Linked DNA regions of Danio rerio. The protein of the gene in region 6 interacts with the protein of the main gene of each other region in a pairwise test. Links are inferred from orthologs where the notes say so. Each region holds a gene or a part of one and is shown on either strand. Other genes may lie near its edges. The genes, in order: csrnp1b, insyn1, lmtk2, csrnp2, ylpm1 and ppp1cc.

Evidence for each region.
Region 1: the proteins of ppp1cc (region 6) and csrnp1b interact in binary tests that used the Homo sapiens proteins (3 or more experiments, as listed by UniProt). The link is inferred for Danio rerio from reciprocal best matches to the Homo sapiens genes PPP1CC and CSRNP1.
Region 2: the proteins of ppp1cc (region 6) and insyn1 interact in a two-hybrid assay, tested with the Homo sapiens proteins (2 studies listed by BioGRID and IntAct). The link is inferred for Danio rerio from reciprocal best matches to the Homo sapiens genes PPP1CC and INSYN1.
Region 3: the proteins of ppp1cc (region 6) and lmtk2 interact in binary tests that used the Homo sapiens proteins (3 or more experiments, as listed by UniProt). The link is inferred for Danio rerio from reciprocal best matches to the Homo sapiens genes PPP1CC and LMTK2.
Region 4: the proteins of ppp1cc (region 6) and csrnp2 interact in binary tests that used the Homo sapiens proteins (3 or more experiments, as listed by UniProt). The link is inferred for Danio rerio from reciprocal best matches to the Homo sapiens genes PPP1CC and CSRNP2.
Region 5: the proteins of ppp1cc (region 6) and ylpm1 interact in a two-hybrid assay, tested with the Homo sapiens proteins (2 studies listed by BioGRID and IntAct). The link is inferred for Danio rerio from reciprocal best matches to the Homo sapiens genes PPP1CC and YLPM1.

What each region holds. Positions count from the first base shown.
Region 1 is NC_133199.1:23,587,862-23,592,124, reverse strand, and holds the start of csrnp1b (cysteine/serine-rich nuclear protein 1b), read left to right. Parts: upstream 1-1,463; 5' UTR 1,464-1,632; intron 1,633-2,301; exon of another isoform or gene 2,302-2,381; intron 2,382-2,610; exon of another isoform or gene 2,611-2,677; intron 2,678-4,263. UniProt on the Homo sapiens protein: Binds to the consensus sequence 5'-AGAGTG-3' and has transcriptional activator activity. May have a tumor-suppressor function. May play a role in apoptosis.
Region 2 is NC_133193.1:53,476,374-53,479,164, forward strand, and holds part of insyn1 (inhibitory synaptic factor 1), read left to right. Parts: intron 1-1,675; coding exon 1,676-2,019; intron 2,020-2,791. UniProt on the Homo sapiens protein: Component of the protein machinery at the inhibitory synapses, probably acting as a scaffold. Inhibitory synapses dampen neuronal activity through postsynaptic hyperpolarization.
Region 3 is NC_133178.1:66,126,353-66,130,465, forward strand, and holds the start of lmtk2 (serine/threonine-protein kinase LMTK2), read left to right. Parts: upstream 1-1,313; 5' UTR 1,314-1,719; coding exon 1,720-1,804; intron 1,805-4,113. UniProt on the Homo sapiens protein: Phosphorylates PPP1C, phosphorylase b and CFTR.
Region 4 is NC_133198.1:36,596,347-36,599,846, reverse strand, and holds part of csrnp2 (cysteine/serine-rich nuclear protein 2), read left to right. Parts: intron 1-417; exon of another isoform or gene 418-420; 5' UTR 421-430; coding exon 431-587; intron 588-3,500. UniProt on the Homo sapiens protein: Binds to the consensus sequence 5'-AGAGTG-3' and has transcriptional activator activity. May play a role in apoptosis.
Region 5 is NC_133195.1:9,354,067-9,357,566, reverse strand, and holds part of ylpm1 (YLP motif-containing protein 1), read left to right. Parts: coding exon 1-724; intron 725-800; coding exon 801-2,852; intron 2,853-2,955; coding exon 2,956-3,082; intron 3,083-3,168; coding exon 3,169-3,304; intron 3,305-3,383; coding exon 3,384-3,473; intron 3,474-3,500. UniProt on the Homo sapiens protein: Plays a role in the reduction of telomerase activity during differentiation of embryonic stem cells by binding to the core promoter of TERT and controlling its down-regulation.
Region 6 is NC_133180.1:2,464,351-2,468,587, forward strand, and holds the start of ppp1cc (serine/threonine-protein phosphatase PP1-gamma catalytic subunit A), read left to right. Parts: upstream 1-1,437; 5' UTR 1,438-1,619; coding exon 1,620-1,674; intron 1,675-4,237. UniProt on the Homo sapiens protein: Protein phosphatase that associates with over 200 regulatory proteins to form highly specific holoenzymes which dephosphorylate hundreds of biological targets.

The DNA.
Region 1 (4,263 bases), on a different chromosome or scaffold from region 6:
TACACCTGTGTTGACACTGGCAGCACTCCCTTTTTCAATAGAAATCGAAAGTTTACTCCACCCGAACGTGTCTACGATGTGCACGATTCTGATAAACACTGCATTAGTGTAATTCTGCATTACAGAGGCGTGCACAGTTAATGATGACACAGCTGACAGGACGAGAGATGCTGTAGATATAGGAGGACACGGCATGTTCAGTCATACCTGAAATCACTGGGATGCATCGTGAACTTGCCATCAACCCCAGTCCAACCTAGAGAAGGAATGCAAATGTAATGTAATCTAATGGCTTATTCAGTATGTCTGAGAGTTGTTTTCATGTCGGCTCAGAATGCCGCTGCAACTGTATGACCAATAAATTAGGCAATGGTTTTACAAGTTTTGCTGCTGAATGATGCAGAAGGATTGCGGGATTTACTGATAAATGATGCAGGGTTTATGACTCACTACTTCAGTGAGGTTGACTCAGGAAATCTGATTGTATAAACATCTATCAAACTGCATAGATTTATTCATTTAAACAGTTTTTGTTATAATTGACATCACAATAAATGTATATAAAATGTAAAATTTATGTAAAACATGTAAAGAGTGTAAAACAAAAATGTAAACAACTATAAATACCATTAATACAAATTACTGTATTAATGTACAACACATTACTTTACATATATAACATCATTACATTTTACAGTCCTATATAATTTTAAAATACTTTTTAAATATAGTTCACATATAACATTTTGTAATATTTTGAGTTATTTGTCCATATATAATTATTTATTATAATTATTTATTATCATTATTTAGTAATAATATTAATTTTGATTATGTGATTGACACTTTTATATTGATTATATACATTTTAACATAAACGTCGCAGAAAAAAAAAATATATACACATACATATATATATATATATATATATATATATATATATATATATATATATATTTTTTTTTTTGATTATGTGATTGACACTTTTATATTGATTATATACATTTTAACATAAACGTCGCAGAAAAAAAAAATATATATATGTGTATATATATATATATATATATATATATATATATATATATATATATATATATATATATATATATATATATATATATATATATATATATAGAAAGCTACTTTAAAGCAAAATAGATTCTGGTTATCTTAAAATGTTTTAAGAAAGCACAATTGATCATGATTTCAGTGTGTATACTCCAATATTTTGCCAGCCACTGTGGTTACCATAGTAAATGTTTTGAAGGCAATGAAAGATTTACAGTTTCCCATAACTCGCGCTGTTGTTCCGGTCTCTCTCTCGTTCTCTGTGTGCGCCAGGAGGAGTGTCGCCCCGCGCGGAAGGCAGGAAGCGGCGCGTGGGCTCAGTGTCACCGCCTGCGTCACACGCCAGGAGGGAGTTTTCCACTGACGAAAAGACTGCGCTGCTCCGCGTCTGCTTCAGACAAGAGGAACAGCTTCAGCTGCCGCTCCAGTCCGCCGAGCGCACAATAGCCGCACGAACACAACGGGATCTCTTTACGGATAAACGCGCGATCGCATCTCTTGGATTATTACAGCTTCATCTTTTCCTAGATAGTGATTTACTAATGCTGATCGGACACGTTATTGGTGAGTAGCGGAGCTCCGCGCTGTTTAACGCCGCACTTGTAATGTGTCTAATAGGCAAACCTCGGATCTGGAGTCCAGCCAGATAGTTTCAATGTTCTTTTGTCGGCCAGTGTAAAGAGATAAAATGTGTTGTGTAACTATTTCAAGTAGCAAATCCAGAGGACATTGTTGTATACTGTCGTGGCAGAAAAAAAAACTAACTAAAGTTATTAAGCCATTGTCTTGCGTTTTAATTGTGTTATAATAAACTCTGGTAAGCTTAATTAATTTAATTTCTGGTGCTTTAATGTAAACCGTTTTAAGTGTGTAGATCGGTCTAAATATTCGCGGGTTTTATGCTTTTTTCTGTCAGTAATTTTGATTGGCAGTGTTTGCTGGGTTTTAATAAAAGATAGCCTTATTCTCATAAGCAGCTGTTGGCGGTTCTGATCGGATCCATTGGCAGAATTCCAGGATAGTGGACCGTATGTGTGTGTATCCGATAAGCCGTAATTGCTAGTTTGAATGTGTGTGAGTGTTGAGTGCATTCCTCGTTCACGTTTATAGCGCTGGTGTAGCCTATCTTCTGAAGCGCGAGCGACTCCTTAAGGTGCCACACCGCATCAGTTCAGTAGTCTGCATGCAGATCTGCGCTCAGCCTCATATGCACTTCCAGTCCTCGATGACGTCACCGAGGGTGCATACAAGGCTGAATGCAGGTCTGGGGGAGACCTTACTTGATCCGATCCAAACTTCAGCTGGTCGAACCGGTATTTGATCAATAGCCTATAAATGGCTTTTACAGTGCTATTTTATTTGGCTACATTTAAAGGCGCACATAACCAATTGCCTATAATTCATTCACAAAGAAAAGTGTTTTTTATTTATTTATTTAAAAGCAAGCAAAACAGTCTCCCCAGGTCATTTGATAATTGGTTTGATTGACAGTCAATCACGAGGCAACAATCACCAACACGTTGTGCTCTGCGTGATTGGGATAACTGAAGTAAATTAATATTCTCATTCCACTCGGTTTGTTACAATCTCACGGCATTCCTTTTGTCAGGTAATTTTCAATTCCTGACTGTGAGCACATTGAATGTTTGATGGTGGGATTCATTGAGCTTGTTATGTAAATTTTAGTTCAATAATTTCAGTATTTTTTGAAGGCACGAGCGCAGAAGGGTGTGTTATGATGATGATGCTTGTATATTTGTGGCTGTGTCGTAAGTTTGAGTGTGTTTATTTTGCGCGTGCTTCTGTGTGAACGAGCGCGCAGTCGCTGTCACGCGCGACCTCACTCGGATTGTTTGTGGGAACACAAGTCGGATTTTTTCTGGTGTTTTTGTTGACATACCTCACACATTTAGGGGATTTATATTCTTAAAACGAGCTTAGTAAGTCCATTAGCGTTTTATTTCATTTAAAATGCTTTTGCACTACCCTGTGGTAAACTGTTTACAAGTGAGACTTTTTATTCCCATAACCTGCGATGTTGTTTTGAATTCAAGTGCACGTTAAACTAATCAAACAGGACCATAAAAGATTGTATTGTTTACTTACTTCTGGGTTGATGAGGTGTGAACTTGCACGTGTTCCAGAGTCAGTGAAATCACTCAGCTGGTTAAAGTAGCATGTCTGGATAGTTTCCTCCCTCTTCCTATTTAAATCCAGTCATGCTTTGAAAAAATTGAGATGATGCCGTCATAATTGGTGTACATCACAACATGTCATTTTTATTAATCTCCCACCCACAGGCAGGGTGTTTTTATTTGGATAGATATGTGTGTGGCTTTTGTGCAATAGTATTGGGGGGGGTGTTGAAGTCCTGATGTCTCTAAAACCGAGAAGCAGAGGGAACCCATCTGTTTTGTCACTCTCCAACATTCCTCCCAGCTTGTGAGGTACCAGCAAGTGCCCCAGACGTAAGCTGATGACCCCTGGGCTCCCCCCATCCTATAGACGCACACATATACTCTCCCTTGTGAGTCCCGAGAGACTGGTAAAGATGGCTAGTATTTGTTTTTGTCACCATTAAGTTAGTCAGAACAAACTCATACAGATGACTTCTCAAGGAACCTACACTTTGCGGACTGTGTTGGAAGTTTGCATTTCGGATATTGATGCAAATTGCTGCATGTGGAAGTATTTTCTTTCAGTTTTGGCAATTTCCTGAGCAGTCAGAGTTTCTATTCGTTGACATAAACCAGGAGCAGTGATTCTCTCGAAACTGTTAAATAACTTTAGGAGGGTGTTTTGAGATGTTTTTCTTATGGCTCTTAGCATAATTTAGATGACCTTTAGATGGTGATCTTCATAATAATTAATAATCGGTTCATCGTCATGTGAGGGACCCCCATCCTAAAAAGTAAACAACAGTATATGGTCAAACAGATCTGATTCATTTTGTTATTTTATAAAATGTTACATTTCCACCTCTCTGAATTCCAGTGTGAAATATTGTCTAAGTTAGAATTGGTACCCTTTTTGCTTAAATAACTTTTTAATTCAAATTGAAAACATGTCTATGGAAATGCGAAGTTTGATGATGTATTGAATCCATAGTGTAGCATGTGAGAGAAATCTTCATCTCCACCCTAATAACATCATCTCGTCAATATGACAATAACGTCATCATCTCTAATGATTCGC
Region 2 (2,791 bases), on a different chromosome or scaffold from region 6:
GACAAGATAGAGATTTGGCACCACACTGAACATTTAGGTTTCAATATATTTTAGCCTGTATTTATTAATAATAATAATAATGTAATAGTTTAATATATGGAAAAATTAGATCATTCAAATAAATATAAATGTAAGATTAAAGATGGCATCTAAGATGTAAATATATGATGTTTAGAATAGATGATAACACACAGCATTTCAGTGTGTTAATATTGGGCTTTGGAGAGACCTAGCAACACATTTTAAATACATTTTTCAGAAAACAAAATTAATTGCTTTAGTTTTGTGTAATAAAATGACCAAAAAAAAAAAAGTTGAAGAACACATGAAGAAAGGGAGGCGTAGAAAGGCATGGAAAGCCCAGTCAGCAGCTGAAATCTCTTGAGTAGTTACAAAGCAACTCTTTTTGTCTTGTTATTATTTTTGTTTGTCACTTTACATTTTAGCTTCCATTTATCAGAATATATTGTATATTGTAGGTATGCTGTGATTAGATGTTTGCATTAATGAGCCATTAAACAAAGGGATCTGGCGAGTGATTGTATATTGTTTTATGTATTGAGATTACAGTAGAATGTACTGTTCATCCATTTTTCATATATATATATATATATATATATATATATATATATATATATATATATATATATATATATATATATATATATATATATATATATACACACACACACACACAAGTAATACTTGAGGATAGGCCATTGAATTATTATACAAATAACGCACACCTGAGGTAATTTCTGTGCTTGTCCTCTGGTCTCCAGTACAGCTTGTAAACTGTTGAGATGTTGTATTACAGACAGGTGTGTGTCCTCCTCAAACTGCTCCTGTGTGCAGCACTAGTTTCTTCCACGTCTCCTCCGAAGCCTTCTGTTGTGTTTTGATGTGATGTTTGACTGTTTTAGCAGTGATATAAATTAGTGGAGTGATATAGAGCTGTAATGCACTCTAAACCTGCCGGAACTACTTTAGCTGTGCCTTTATCTGACAATAAAGGCACACTTCACAATGCTTGAGAGAAAGTTTGTATATTTAGTAGCTTAGCGTTTATATAATATAATGTGTCTTTGGGAATACCTTCAAGTCAGCCCAGTTTCAGATTGTTTATTTTGATCAAATCAATGAAGATCCTTAAGGTATTGCAGATTTTTGAACAGGTCGACCGCGGTGCCTGAGCATCAATTGAGCGTACACAAACTCATTATTTTTGTTATTTATGATCATTAAGTGGCTCGGTGTCCTCCAGGTGGTGGGTCAGATCGATAAACTCAGGTCAGACTTAACACATATTGGTTTATTTATTGATTGATTGATTGATTGTCTACAGAACAAATCCCTGTTGTTTAATGACTTGCCTAGATATTAAAACAGAAAGACTGATGATCTTTGTTTTAAGCAGTGTTCATCACTTTGTTTTTTGCTGCTTTTGGCCTGTTTCAGGGTCTGAAACTTTTTAAAACTCCCTCAGATTACTTGGTTTTCACCTGAAACTTGTTGGACATGTTTAAAACTTCATATAAGCTTGCCTTATTCATTAATAAAATAAATGAAGATCCTTGAATCGTCTCAGTTTTTTTGAACAGGTCGACTCACCATCAATGTGACGAATATGTGAAGCCCATTATTCACCATCATTCTCTCCTTCTGCGTCCTCCAGGTGGTGGGTCAGATCGACAAACTCACATCAGACCTGGAGCTGGATCTGGATGCGGACGATTGGACGGTGGCGACAGCGAGCAGCACGTCCAGCAGCGAGCGCGGCCTGTGCGAGGCCTTCAGATTGGACTTTCTGGGCCAGGACTCGCTCTCTGACAGCTGGGACTTCTGCAGCTTTCTGGAGTCATCGAGCCGGAGATCAGCGCGGGACGACACCAAACCTCCGCCCACCACCGCCAGCGTGTACTCGCAGATGAACGGCGGGCTGCCCGTCCCCAACGGACCCCTGATCATCACACCCGACTCGTCCAGTGAGGAGGCCTCCAGCTCCACACACAGCCAGAGGTGGGGAAACTTCACCCAAAACAAATCCAAGTTTAGTTTTGTTTCTTTCAGCCCATCATTGGGTCTAATTATTAACATATATTAAATATAAACAGAGATGAAAATACAAATATTATCCTCTCTTAATGACGTTTTCATGAGCATGCATAAAATCTCAATGGTTTTCATGGTGTGTGTCATGTAAAAATCCACTCTCTCCAAGTGTTACCTGAATTGTAACTAGGGTACACCAAAATTTCAGCCACTGAAAATGATTGTATGTTTTTCCAAAATATTTTAGTTCTCTTTACTCAAATAAGCTCATTTTGACCAATAGTCTGGGACAGGAAAGCATGTGGAGCAGAGAGAAAGGGGAATGATCAGTAAAGGACTTTGAGCTGGGAATTGAACTCGGGTCTCTGTGAGCACCTCAGTGACCTCAGTATATATCAATGCACAAACCACTAGACTGTTGGCGCTGACAAAATAGTTTTGGTTCTCAATAATAGCCTTTTCTGAACAATAGTTTTCATTTTCTATAATAACCTTGTTTTGACTAACAGTTTTAATGTATTTGTTTACAAAAATAACTTTGTTTTGACCAATACTTTGTCTTCATTTACTAAATTAACCATGTTTTGACCAACAGTTTTAGTCTTACATTAAATATACTGGTCAAAACAAGATTATTTTAGTAAATAAGAACTAAGTTAACTAAAATAACCATGTTTTGGTCTTAGTTTGCTAGAATAATCATGTTTTGACCAACAGTTTTGGTCTTAGTTTGCTAAAA
Region 3 (4,113 bases), on a different chromosome or scaffold from region 6:
TCAGCAAACTAATAAAGCCCGAAAAAAGCCCTGAACTTAGCGAATAAACAGTGTTCCACCAGATCATGTATGTCAGAAACTATAGTTTACTGCTGAACTCATTTTGTCATGGTAAAATAACACAGAAATCGAATAATAACATTTCAGTCTACTTCAGTCTCCTGCCGAAGCTCAGACGCCGCGCTTTGAGAAACTGTCAATCACAGCTGTCAATCACGATGACACGCCCAGCATTAAATTACTGCTAAAAACAAACTGTTTACAAAAATGAAGATCTGCACCTATTTCAGCACAATAACCAGTGCCTTAATCCACCAGAACCATCTTTCGGGACATTTTATTGCAAGTGTAATATTTTTTTTTATTTGGGCTCAAGTCTCCTTCATTAACACGGAGGAGGCGGGCTTTATGACTTGTACTGCAGCCAGCCCCCAGGGGGCGATCTAACGGCCGAAACCTTCACTCAAACGTAGGCTTGCGGCACACTTGTTCCGAATTCATAGAATTCGAAAATCAGTACCCGGATGACTTACTACTTCCGGCGAGATTCCGGAGTGCGCATCCCATGCATGCTGCGCTATCCCATGATGCCCCGCGAGCGAAATCATGAATGGAAGTAAAGCGACGCAACTGACGCACGTAGGTCACGTGACCATGACAAAATGGCGGATGTAGTACGTCCGAATTCCATTCATACTTTTCACATTCATACTGTACAGAACGTACTTTTCTAACAACCGAGTAGTACGTTTAAATTCAAATGCAGTACCTACTGAGTAGTAGGCAGATTCGGACGCAGCCAATCTCTCTAAATTAACATTCATTTTAGGTACTTCATCATTTAAGACAAATTACTGACATTTTTGTTTTTGTACAGGAAAATTACAGTATCATTTATAGTGTTTTTTCTGTTATTTTAAATTATGTTCAAAAGTCCGTAAAAATTACAAATAATATCTGTAAATTTACAGCTTGACTGTTATTTTATGTACTATATAATTAATGAAAAATTACAGCAACTTTCCTGTTTTAGAATCCTCCCTTGTGGATCAAGTAAAATCACAAAGATAATATCTTTTTCATGCTAATTCTTATTAAAAAATCGATTTATTCTTTACTAAGATGCTTTCGTTGTTCCACAGCTTCACTTTGTGTGGGGAGAAATTGTGAACGAAACATAGTTTCCATGCCAAAAAGAGCCTGTTCATGAAATTTAGAGAGTTTTATAGGGAGTTTGTATGGTAGGCAACCTTTTTTCTATGTGAGTGATCTGTCAGATTCTGACGTCACCGCCGCCCTCGTGTGACGTCACTAAACATGGCGCTCGTGCGGAAAGGTGATGATGATGGACCTCTATGTTTACTGCGCTTTTGATTTTTCCGCGAACGCAAGACTTTTACAATGTCTGAAAAAGACGTATCCTCGCGTTTAACCGTCCTAGAGAGGTAATAAACCAAACGGCGGCTTTGAACGATGCTAAATAATCACATATAAGACGCCGGTAGCGGTTAGCATTAGCTTAGCTTCATGAGCACCACAGCTCTGTCGTGTTAGCTAACGCTCACAACGCGACGCACGACTAATATCACACAACATGAGTCTTTGACATATATAGATGTAACGATATAGATGTACGTAGACAGCTCTTTGCGTTATTTGTTTAGATGTGCTAGCTGTTTTTTAGGTAGTTGAGGTAGTGGATTAGCCGCAGTGCTGAGGATGGAGGCTCTTCTCGGTGGAGGTGTGTGTTTTCTGGGATTTGTCACTCTCACACACGCTGCTCCGGTCTCTAATACACTCTCAGGTAAGATGTCAGTCACATTATGATGCTTATTTGTCACTCATGTTGTCATTGAGAAGCTGTGTGTGATGCCAGCATTGTGTTGGGGTTTGCTAATGTCATGTTTACATGGTGCTGCTCTCAAAAATAGCATGGGGCTACCTTGGGGTGTTAAGGTAAAGTTGGTTTTATATTCGTACACTCATTTAGTGACAATTTCCTTTGTTGTTTATCACGGTACAATAAATATTCGGTTTCAAATTGTATGCAAGTATGACTTTAAAACAACATAAGCACTATTAAATTGATTGTGAACAATGTTGTACTTTGATAGTCATTGGATGCTAATATAATTTCACTATTTAGAGTTTATAAAGAAAACTTTTCTTAAATTATATTATGAAGGAGAAAGTTCAAACGTGTGATTTTTAAAACCAACTTTACCTCAATCATTAGTGCTTGGCATTGTTTTGTTGTTATGGGGTAAACAGGTGATTTGACAGCTGACCTGTCAGTAAACAAACCAAGTGAAAGTGCGAAAATGTCCTCAAATAAAGACTAATCAAGCACCTGTGTTGTGGAAAGATACTTTAGAAAGTAATGTATTACAATATCGAGTTACTTCGCAAAAAATAACTAGTTGCGCTACTTTTTATGTGGTAAGTAATGTGTTGATTTTTGTGTTACTTTTCCCATACTGGCTGAGTCTTAAACTCTTTCAGAACTTGCAAGAAGTTTTTTCTTCATTTTTCGTTTTAAAAGAGGAGCTCTGTGATTAACAACACACTGTATAACCTTCATTCATCTTTAAAAAACACAATAATGTAGAATAATGTTGTCTTCTGAGAGCTCCCTGAGCTGTAGTTTGTTGTTTCTGGTGATGCTCAAAATTCAGATGGAGGGCAGGAAGGAAAAAGTTGAATGGGAGACCGAGGAAAGGCCAGGTTTTTGTGATTTATACCATGTTTCAAAGGAGATATAAATGGAAAATCACCACATATGTTGATTGAGGTAAAGTTGGTTTTATAATCAAACATTTGGACTTTCTCCTTATTAATATAATTTCAGAAAAGTAGTCTTTGCAAACTTAAAATAGTGAAATAATTAGCATCTAATGACTATCAGAGTATAACATTGTTTACAATCAAATAAATAGTGCTTATGTTGTTTTCAAGTCATACTTACATGCAATTTCAAACCAAATATTCAATGTACAATGGTAAACAATATAGAGAAGTTGTCACTGAATGAATGTGTTAATGTAAAACCAACTTTACCTCAATCCCTTGGGCTTGATATTGTATTGCTGTTATGGGGTAAAAAGGGGATTTGACAGCTGACCTTTCAGTAAACAAATCAAGTGAAAGTGCGAAAATGTCCTCAAATGAAGACTAATCAAGCACCTGTGGTGGGTAAAGTTACTTTAGTAAGTAATGTATTACAATATTGTCTAGTTGTGTTACTTTTTATGGTAAGTAATGTGTTGAGTTTTGTGTTACTTTTCCCTTACTGGCTGAGTCCTAAACTCTTTCAGAACATGCAAGGATTTTTTTTCTTCAGTTTTTGTTTTTTTAGAGGAGCTCTGCGATTAACAACACACTGTATAACCCTTATTCATCTTTAAAAACTCACAAAAAAACATAATAATGTTGGATAATGTTTTCTTTTGAGAACTCTCTGAGCTACAGGTTGTTGTTTCTGGTGATGCTCGAAATTCAGATGGAAGGCAGGAAGTAAAAAACTAAATGGGAGACAGAGGAAAGTCCCTGTTTTTGTGATTTATAACATATTTCAAAGGAGATATAAATAGAAAATAACCACATATATTGGGTATTGAAAATTATAATTAAAAATAGTCACATTAGCTTTCACCGGAAGTTTATCACTAGCTTTAAAACTCTTGCTGTGCATAGAGCCCATTGAGGGTGCGGTTCAACATCAATTTTAATTCAGCAATTACATTTTTTTAGAAGCTAATGCAATTAAAAATAGCCTGCATGATATTTTTTAAACTAAAATATTGTTACTTAATCTTTTTAAGTAACGTAACTTTTGGCCCCGTTTACACTGCCAGTTAAATGTGAGCCAATTTTTTTGTTCATGTGACACAGATCGGATCCCTTCTATGACCGCATAAACACGTAATAATGCATTCATACGGATATTCAGAGATGGTTTCAGATCTCCTTCATATGTGGAAATAAATCAGATTATAGGATATGTGACGATGCGACTATCATGTAAACAAGCACTCCGTTTTGTACGTCATTAAACTTGCGACAATGTGGTACTTCTCCGGTTGAATGACGTAGAAGGAAGAGCGTGTACGGAGA
Region 4 (3,500 bases), on a different chromosome or scaffold from region 6:
CCCAGAGGAAACCCATGCCAACACAGAGAGAACATGCCAATTCCACACAGAAATGGCAACTTGCCCAGCCGGGACTCGAACCAGCAAGTGCTAACCACTGAGTCACTGTGCCACTAACTATATGTTAATTTTATACAGTATGAGAATTCTGCTATATAGTTTACATATGATATGAAGCCTCCAAGTACTGGGTTGGGGCTGGAAGGGCAGCCGCTGCGTAAAACATATGCCAGAATAGTTGGTGGTTCATTCCGCTGTTGCGACCCCTGGTAAATAACAAACTTAGCTGAAGGACAATGAATGAATGATACAAAGCTCATCCTCTTTTGTCATAACTGTTCATGTTGGATTTCTGTGGTGATATTCTGTCAGTCAGTCAGTCAGAATAAAGCATGTACCTGTCTGTATTGCCTTCAGAAGCAGTGTTTCCATGGAGACAGTGTCATCTCGCGGCCTGAAGCGCAGATTCGAGGAGGTGGACAGCGGCTCGCCGTGCTCCACACCCAAAGACTCAGATGATGACATCTCCAGCAGTGACAGCGCTGACAGCTGCGACAGTCTCAACGCTCCCTCCAGCTCCCTCACACGTAAGACTAACTAACAACTTAATCTTATATGAGTTCAGTGTTATGGAGGCATCCTGGCAGTAAGTTATGAACGGGCCGCAACAATTGTCCTGTTATAAAAATATTAGAGAGAATACAAACACTTGTCTGTATATGAGTGAGCCGGTGTGTTTTAAATGGTGATTTTATTTATTTATTTTTGTCTTGATTGTTTTAAGATTTGCATCTCCAGTCTGTAAAAGATATGGATGTAGTATCCGTGACGTCACCCATAGGTTTCTGATGAACATAAATGAAGCTACAAGTAGGCGAGGCCAACCATCGCCATTTTGTTTGCGTGGCATCGCACCGACCGGGGGATACCAAACAAGCACGGAGAGGCGAAGCGTGAGCTGAGCTACAGACGCCTGCTAGCATTTTGCTTAGACAGGCTTTTCTTTGGGAGAAACGTTTAATACCTCATTACCTGCGACTTGTTTATGTTCTGACCACATGTGCTTGGTTGTCAGAGATGGCAAAAGTACACACATCTTTTACTTAAGTAGAAGTACAGATGCTCATGTTTAAAACGACTCTGGTAGAAATTGAAGTACTGACTACACTTTGGTTCTCAAGTAAAAGTAAAAAAGTACGGCCTGAGGGTGGAGTCTATTCTAGCCTTTTTGAAATGATGAGTCACACACAAATGCCGTTTGCACCTATACATACACAGTGACACCATGTGGCCGTGGTGATTATAGCGGTTAAAAATTACATAGCGATTTTTCTGTCTTTATTACCAACATGCTCTGTTTTAAAAACGCTTTAAACTCATAAAATTGATTATTGAGGTGCAGCTGATCACAGAGACTTGTAGCAAATGTTTTAATCCTAGTTTCTTTGCAAAGAATGTTCCGTGGACATGTGTATACATGTTATTGTAGAGACATGGCAAGTGTCAATCAATTTGGTTGGCGGGGAAACCATACTCCTGTACCTACACATAGTTCTGTCCAAACAGCTTACAAAAGAGGATTTTCATCATAGGTGCCCTTTAAAGTTGCTATTTAAACTGCTGTAAGGCTGTTAATGTTAACCCCTGTACTTTAGTCAGTTCATGCATAAGGCTGTCACATTTCTGCTCGTTTGTAAGAACCACCATAGCCTAATCGAGATTTTTAAATAGTTTTTTTAGGATGATAAAACTACTATACAACATAGTTTAGACTATGTTTAAGGTTTAGGTTATTTTTTTTTTTGGCTGAGAGTACAATATCATCAATGGATTGTTCCCCAAACAGTTTAGATTATTGATACAGGTCATAGAGGTTTGATTTTCCTATTATAGAAATGTAGGTCCAGGACATAAAAAGGATGTTGATTGAGGTCCTTCTTGGACTAATTTACATTGAGATGAAAACTTGTTAACCCTTTAACTGTGAGTCCTCATGTTGAACATGACACTCCTTGTTTTGGAATGCATACCTACACTGATTTATTGTATTTACTGCATTTTTTAAGATAACTGGTTGCAAACAATTTATGGGCTGAATTTAAACAAGCTAATTTTATTTGGTAATGTTCAACATAATTTGCCCATATAAAACTTTTGCAAATCTAATTATTGTTTTATTTTAGTGTAAAGTTGGTCTCTGTATAAAGAAGAGACTTCAGCATTAAAATAAATGAAGACAGGGTTTTAAAGTTATAAATGCTTAAATTTACTGGAAAGAAAAAATAATTTATGAATATGAAATTCTATAAATATTGTTTTATTTTGTGTATAAATCATGTTTACACTCAAAAAATGTGCAATTGCCGCTGTTAAAAAACCAACAGTTTGGCTCAATGGACTCCTGATTTGCTGCTTATTAATAGTTAGTAATGTAGTAGTTGAGTTTACTGGGTAGGATTAGGGATATAGACTAAGATCATGATTTATATGTACTAACAAACTGCCAGTATTTTAATGATAGGCAGGTAATAAGCCAGTAGTTAATAGTGGGAATTGGTACTTAAACTAAAGTGTTACCTAATTTGTTTATCCATACTTCTTTCACTGATCCATACACACCTTTCACAATATAAATTCTATCACAAAACTGGCAGCAAATATGAAACAATAGCTCTCATGAAATGTGAATCGACAAGTTTATAAAAATATTTAATTATAATATATAATAGTACATTTTGGCGGCGCAGTGGCGCAGTAGGTAGTGCTGTCGCCTCGCAGCAAGAAGGTCACTGGTTCGAGCCTCGGCTCGAGCTGGGTCAGTTGGCGTTTCTGTGTGGAGTTTGTATGTTCCCTCTGCGTTTATGTGGGTTTCCTCTGGGTGCTCCGGTTTCCCCCACAGTCCAAAGACATGCGGTACAGGTGAATTGGGTAGGCTAAATTGTCCGTAGTGTATGAGTGTGAATGAGTGTGTGTAGATGTTTCCCAGAGATGGGTTGCGGCTGGAAGGGCATCCGCTGCGTAAAAACATGCTGGATAAGTTGGCGGTTTATTCCGCTGTGGCGACCATGGATTAATAAAGGGACTAAGCCAAAAATAATAATATGATGGAATAGTACATTTTGCAATATAAAATTTGACACCACCCACTAGGTGGAGGAGCTTGCTAAAAGGTTTTGAAGTACTTTCCCTTGGTAGTGCATTCTCCAATTTCAAAATCTGTCTTAACACAATGAATTTCATACTTTTCAAATGACAGCTTTCAAGTCATATTTAAGCAGCAATCTTCTGCTTGAAAATATCCCTCCTGAAGCAAATACAGAAGTAACTGAAACTGTAATTCATCGCAATTCCGCTAGTCCTGGCTCCATAATAAAGCAAATTTCTATTGAGCCCACTGTTAAAATTGGCCAACTTTACAGCAGAAAAAAAGGTGTTTACAGCCTCGATCAAAGAACGATTTTGGTTCATATAGCTAATATTACCCTTCAAGACAACTGTGA
Region 5 (3,500 bases), on a different chromosome or scaffold from region 6:
TAGAACAGTTTCAGATGTACCCACATAAAGATCAGCTACATGATTATGAAGCCCAGTGGAGGCAATGGCAGGAGCAAATGAATTCAACTTCAGCTCATCTGCAAGAGAGGGTCACGACTTTAAGAGCCATGCAGCATCAGTATGGTTCTTCATATGGAATGATGGGATCATATGGGCAGCAAAGTCCAAATGTCCAAATGGGACCAAATGGAAACATGAATTTAGTAGGCCCAGGAACTCCATCTATGCCACCGCCAGTCACCATGGATGCCATGCCAGCACCATCAACACAAGGCCCATCACAGTCTGGACCAGTTGTTCCCCAGGGTCATTCACCTTCTGATCTGGAATCTATTTCTGAAACATGTAAAACTGGTTTACCACCTGGTCATGGAGTTAGACCGCCTGGTCCTGGGGTTAGACCGCCTGGTCCTGGGGTTAGACCGCCTGGTCCTGGGGTTAGACCGCCTGGTCCTGGCGTTAGACCACCTGGTCCTGGCGTTAGACCGCCTGGTCCTGGCGTTGGACCGCCTGGTCCTGGGGCTGGACCAGGGGTTGGACAACCAAGACCGGGGGTTAGACCACCTGGACCGGGGGTTGGACCACCTGGCCCACAAGGTGTTAGACCATATGGACCAGGAGGTAGACCACCGGGGCCAGGAGTTAGACCATCTGGACCAGGAAGTGGACCGCCTGGACCCCATGGAAGATTTGACGGCCCAAGGTAATTCAGAAGAAAAATTACTTGGAATAACACATTTGTCTCGAGCTAGAGAACTAATTTTTGTTTTCTTTTTCAGATTTGAAGGTCCTAGAGGCCCACAATTTGAACAGCCACCCCAGCAACGATTTAGTGGACCACCCAGATTTGATGCTGGTCAGCGATTTAGCCAACCTCCTAGAGGTAATCCTCCCTTTCCAGGGGCTCCAGCAAGGCTGGAGAACCCCCCTAGACAGAATACCCCTACACGCTTTGAAAGACCTCCTGTAGCTTCTCAACAAACTGGTTCTGGTCAACAATCCAGTCCTGTAACTGGCAATCAAACAAAGCAACAATCAGCAAAACCTGAGGCAAAGCCAGTTCCTCCATCTTATACAGACCCAGACAAAGCTAAAAGTCCTTTAAGTCAAAGTACTCAAAAAGAAAACAATTCCTCTGCTCCATCCATGACAGACGACCTTGTGGACTCAGTGGATGGATTTTTTATTCAGAGTGGACCCATTCCTCAAACTAAGGATTCTGATAAAACTGATGCAGACAGTGCAAAGCAAGATAAAACAAAAGAAGTTACTACAAAACCATCTGCACCTACGGATGCCCCAGACACCACAAACAAAAACTCTAACTTGCAACCTCCTAAGACCAGTCATACTGCTAATGGGCCACCACAACAAGTAAAGCCTCCTCAAAACAAATTTAAACCTGATACACCCAAGGAGACTCCTAGGATGCTACCCATGATGAATCAGCAAGTTCCACCACAGATGGCACGGGGAAGAGGACGAGGCCAAATACCAATGCCTCTCCGAGGCAGGGGTCGTGCACGTGGTCGAGGGCAGTATGGCGGACCAATGGCTGATCCCAACTTCCAAAGAGAAATTGAGGAGGATTCCTATGACCATCAGGAACCAGGCAACGCAAGTCATGGCGAGGATCAGGATCGTATTTGGAGAGATCCTTCTTTAGATGGTCCTGAAGAAATTGATCAGGAAGCACCTTTAGAGATTTGGCAACCAGAGGAGGAACACTTTCCAGAGGAGTACCCAGAGGACACTCACCAAGATGAAAACTGGGAAGAAGAACCACAGGATTATTGGGAGGAAGAAGATCCATATTGGGCAGAGCAACGACCTGCCATGCGTGCTAGACCTCCTTTTCCTCCAGGTGGCCCCAGAAGACCTCCTTTCCATCCACGATTTATGCTTCAAGGTCCAAGGCGCCCTCCTCCTCCTGGAAGTTTGCAACATAACCCACTTGGACCTCCTCCGTTTCGACCACGTGGGGGAGTTGTACCACGATTCAGACGTGGTTTAGGCCCTTGGGGACCATTACCCCGCCATGACATGATGGAGCGAGATTTAAGACGACCACCAGCACCTCATGAAATTATAGCTAGGGAACCAGCTGGTCCTCATGGATATGAAGAAGAAATTGACAGAGAGCCTGCATGGCCTCATCCTCGTGGTAGAGGGATTAGACGACCACCTTTGCCACCCCATGAAATGGGAAGAGGCATTAGAAGACCACCCATGAGGCCTGCAATGCCAAGAGAAAGGTGGCATGGCCCACCACCTCATGAAGAAGAGAATTATGAGGAGGAATACCCATATGGTGCAGAGGATGATGTGTACAGAAGGCCACCTCATGAATACAATGAAGATTATGAGCATGGAGATGAGTATTATGGCTCTCGTGAGGAATGGGACGGGGAGCAACCTGAACGAGACTATCCTCCACATCGTCCTCCAGAACGTGTTAGAGAGGATCCATGGTTAGAGGAAAGAGAAAGATCATTCCCATATGAGGAAGACCGATATAGAGAAGAACGAAGGGGACCTTTTTACCCTGATGATCCACCTTATCAAGACCGAGATCGGGAGCCTCCATTTCATTCACGTTCTGATTGGGAAAGGCCCCCACCTCCACCCCCACCAGAAAGAGGATACTCCCGTTCACTTAGTGAAACGGATTATGAACATAAACTGGATCCACTAGCTAGCCTTCCCGCACCTCAAGCCACAGATTCCCCACTTGATGAGTCTTCACCTAGCGCAACTAAGGCTGTACTTGCTCTTTCTCAAAGGCAGCATGAGATCATTCTTAAAGCTGCCCAGGAGCTAAAAATGATCAGGTAAAATGGAATTTATCAAGAGCGTACAATTATTCAAATAACATGCAATTCATACACTCCAAACGGTTGAATTCACAACTTGATTAAACCTGTTTGTTCGTAGAGAGCTTCAGGAGACCAAAAAGGCTTTAGGAGAGGTTTCCACCACAGAGTCAGCTGGGTTGCCTTCAGAGCTTCCTGCTGGCATCCTTGGATTGGAAATTCCACCAGAGGTTAAAAGTGCCCTGCAGGTATGCTAACTGTGCATAATAATGTTTAGTATTGCAGTAGTTTAGTTATGGAAAGCAATTGATCGCATGAGGATTTTGTTTTGCAGGCTACCAACTTATTGTCTGAAACTGGACAGACATTCAATGCTGGTTTGTCCTCAAATCAATCTACAGATTTTCTTTCTTCAACTGCCCCTACAGCCTCATTCATTGCTAAAACTGTGGACTATGCGCATGGTCGTGGTCAGTGTATGTTCTGAATTTGTTTATAAATGCATCTAGTCAAACGACAGTTTTTTACACTTGTTTTATCGTTCTTTAGATGGGGGTTCAACAGTGGAAAGAATTTCTTATGGGGAGAGGGTCTTGCTAAGACCTGCTCCAGCTCCATCTGAGCGATCTTATGAGAAAGGTTGGTCCTGCTTTCTTAATATGAAAG
Region 6 (4,237 bases):
AATTAACCATATTGAACTGTTTTTGCTGCAATCAAAAACCAGTAACGTGTCTGATTCAGCATAGCGTGAACTCACCTGATATAACATGAGAACTGCAGAGTCCAGCATTTCTAATTAGGTCCTCACTCCATTCAGCTCCCTTATAGCTAAATATGTCTGCAGTTGGCATTAAAGCAGTGTGGTGTACGGTAAATGTTAAGCTGCATTTGAAAAGTTGGATTTGGCACCCTACCGCACAACTATTACTATTGACACCAGGAACCCCTGTGACGTAGGTTGATAATTTCTCTAAATATAGGCTTAAGTTTTTTAATTTAAAACAACTTTGAACAGATTCCTTATTTTATGATGGATAATAATAAATTAGCATTTGAAAAAATAAGTATTTTTTCGAATTTCTTAGTTCAAAATGTTTAATTTAAATTCTAATCTCATTACATTATTTGTAAAAAGTAATAGTGTAAATTTTAAATGCACAGTTGTAAATAAACACAATTTTTTGTTAATAGTATGGTAAGCACTTTGACAAAAATATAGGAAAATATTTGTTGCGTCAAAAAGTATTGTAATGATAACCATCCGACAAGCTAATCCAAAAATTTGTGCTTAAAATGTCAATGTATTTGATAAAAATGAGCCGAATAGCTGCAAAAAGTTCCACTTTTTGAGAACCCTTTTAATAGGCTGGCTACGGGCCTGCATTGCAATGCTGTAGTATTTTTAATACCTAAATTAGCATGAATTAAATGCATACTGAGTAAATACCTTACCACAAATGACAAAATATGTAATGGTATTGACAGTTGACAAAGGATGAGGTTAGTTAACATGAAAAGTAATGTCAAATACTATAAAACTAGTTTTTTTTTAATGCCAAAATCAGCATTAATTAATTTCTAATGCAAAAATACTACAAATTAAATAATATTTTTTTTACTATAATGAATGACAATTGACAAAAAAATGTGGTTAGTTAATATAAAAGGTCATGTCAAATACTGTAAAACTAGATTTTATGCCAAAATTAATAATTTTTTATTAGGTTATTATAATAAATAACAGTTGACAAGGCATCTGGTTAATTAACATAAACAGAACTGTCAAATAATGTAATACTAGTACATGTGTATACCCGAATCAGCATAAATTAAATGCATAATGCAATTTTTTCAAATGAAATAATATTTGTATTAGGTCTACTGTAATAACAGCATGCCAAAAGACGTTGTTGGTTAAAATAAATAATTATGTTAATGTGTAGGATATGTTTTAAACATGTGTTTTTAAAAGTTTTTCATTGCAATTAACATTCAACGTCACACGTTATTGTGAAAGTCAGCGGCACGCCCTCCTCTTTCCTCCGCACTACTTTTCTTCCTTTCCTTTGTGTTCATCCGCCCTCCCGTTTCCATCAGCGGTGAAACCGAGCCGAATTGCGTGTCCTTCCGCAGAGCCGGTGCGCCACCGCCGCAGCACGCGCGTCTAACGGGCCCGCTCGAGCATTTTAATCTTTTCTTTTAGAGTTTTGTGATTAACCAGTTTGTTTTTAATCGAAGTCGTTTTATCTGTCGTGTCTGGTGTGTTTTAAGCGGTGGTGTTTGTGTTTTTATCGGCTAGTCATGGCTGACATCGACAAACTCAACATAGACAGCATCATTCAGCGCCTGCTCGAGGGTGAGTTTCAAGCCAAGTGACAGCTAAAATGTACTTTTAATAACATAAGTAACTATATAATTGCCATAAGGGTTGTGTGTGTATATGTATATGCTTGATCTATCAACTCTGTCGTTTTTATGGATGTTACGTTAGCTGAGCTAGCGAGAGTTAGCTGCGCATTAGCTCTGCTCACTGACACAAACGGCTGTGTGTCAAATACAGAGTTTTCTACATAGACACTATACTGATATATTTGAAGATTATATATTATTGGTTGGTTTCGAATGGACAGTACTTTTGACTATAAAATACACTCTGTGTGGGCAGTTCACTGGTGTTTGTGACACTGCCAAGCTGTACGCGCGGTTTCGGTGCTTCAGTAAACACATTACGTTAGTACACTGACTAATGCTGATATTATGATATTGAATACATATTTGAGCATCAAAACAGCTGTTTATTAGTGTACCACAGTCATTAAAATTAACAACAGGGCTTGAAATGTCAAAAGTGTGATTTCTAGCGCTAGGAAAAACAATATTTTTGAGTTCAACCCAAATTTATACAATTTGAGGGTGTCATCTCTATAAAATGTTTATTAAAAATCCTTGCTTTAATTAGACATCTTAAAACCTTATTTAATGACTAACAATATGAAACTGTTGAAAATGAGAACTTTAAAACATGATAAACTCTTAATTCTGATTGAATATGAACACTGTATTTGCTTATATTATGACTTTAAACATGTATTATTATTACATGTAAATATATTTTTTAGGGGGGGAAGGACATCACATCCTGTACAACTGCAGGTTATACAGTGTTCATACAGTCATGGAAAACCTGGAAAAGTCATGGAATTTTTACATGGCATTTTCCAGGCCTGGAAAAGTTTTGGAAAAACAGAAAAACCTACACAGTTTTAGAAAAGTCATGACAAATACTTGAATATAGGCTTTTCTCTTATTTTCTGTCCTTGGCCAATCACATACTCTCATATTATTAGTGCGGTGTAAGCATTATCTAAATTAATTTTGCATGGATATAAATTGAAAGTAAATGGATTGTTGCATGTTTTATGCTATGCTCTAATAAATTTGAACATGCATTGCTTTTCTTTTACCACGCATATGTAGACATTGCATGAAACATTAGGTCATGAACATTTACATGAAAGTCTTGGCAAAATCATGAAATTTTAGTAGTAAAAATGTGTATGAGCCCAACTATGTTTACAACATTTTAGCTTTTTTTTGAATTGACTGTAATGAAATGTGCACCTTTTGTAAAGCTGCTTTGAAATGAATTATTGTGAAAAGCACTATACAAATAGATTTATATTTTATTATACAATGAATTGTATCTTTGCAAAATATAATTGCTTTCTGGAATGCATTATAAAAGCAGCAGGTGCAATAAAGGCAGAATGATTATGCAAGATTTTATAGTTTTATTGTATACAGTGAAGAAATGCATTTACATAACATTTCTCGCTTGTTTAATTTTTATATGCAACACAGTTCATATTGGCAGATATTATTATTTAGACTAACATTAAATGTATTATTAAGGTATGTATCCTTCATAAGCGGGTCTGACTTCAGATTTAGCACTGCAGCAGCTTTGACCCATTTTTACTTGTACTTTCTGCAGTAGTGATTTCAGCATCATACACATACTGATATGCATGTGCTTTTACTTTGTCCTCTTACACTGTAAAAAATATATTAGTGAACAGTTTCTCTATTTTGTGTGTTTTGGGTTTATTTGCGGTGGCAAATTGCATTATGCTATGTTGATCTCTCCTCTGTTGTATTTTTAACATCAAAAGTGCACAAAGTGACTTATTCACATTTTAGTCATTTGAAATAATAATATCATGTATAAAAATAATATCTAAAGAAATAAGTCTGTTAAAGAATAGAAAATGTTTGTTACAATGTTTTTGTAGCGTAATATACAACACCAACCAGACAGTATATCACTTTAAGCTATTAAAAAAGTAAATAAGTCACTTTTTTTAACTTTACAAGGTTAAAAGTTGTTGGAGGAAAGTAATAATCCAATTCAAAAGCGTAAATAAATGGGGGAAAGTAAAAACATGAATCACAAAATACATAAAACTGCTTATTTAAAGATTTTTTATTGCTTAGGTTTATTTTTATGCAGTGTGAAATAATGGCTGCGCTAAAATTTTGACATTGTCATGGAGAGATGCTATAAATTATATTTGGGTAATAATAATGCATAATGTTTAATTATGATGCACCTTTCTAAGCTCAAAGCGCCACAACATTTACAAACATAAGGTTGCAACCAAAGCCTAAATTACAAACTTTCATAATCAAATCTCTGTATTAATTCACATCGCAATAATGAATAAAAAACAATTAAGCAAATTTATTTTTTAAAATGTCAGTGATATCACAAATGGGCAAATATGGCTCTAAATTTAAAATTATTTATTTTAAAATAAATATATTACCAGTATATTAGGAACACCCTACTCCTTGCATATTTTCTAAGATTCCTCTGTTAAATATTTTATTAGACTGTCCTGCTTTTAATGTTTGTAGAA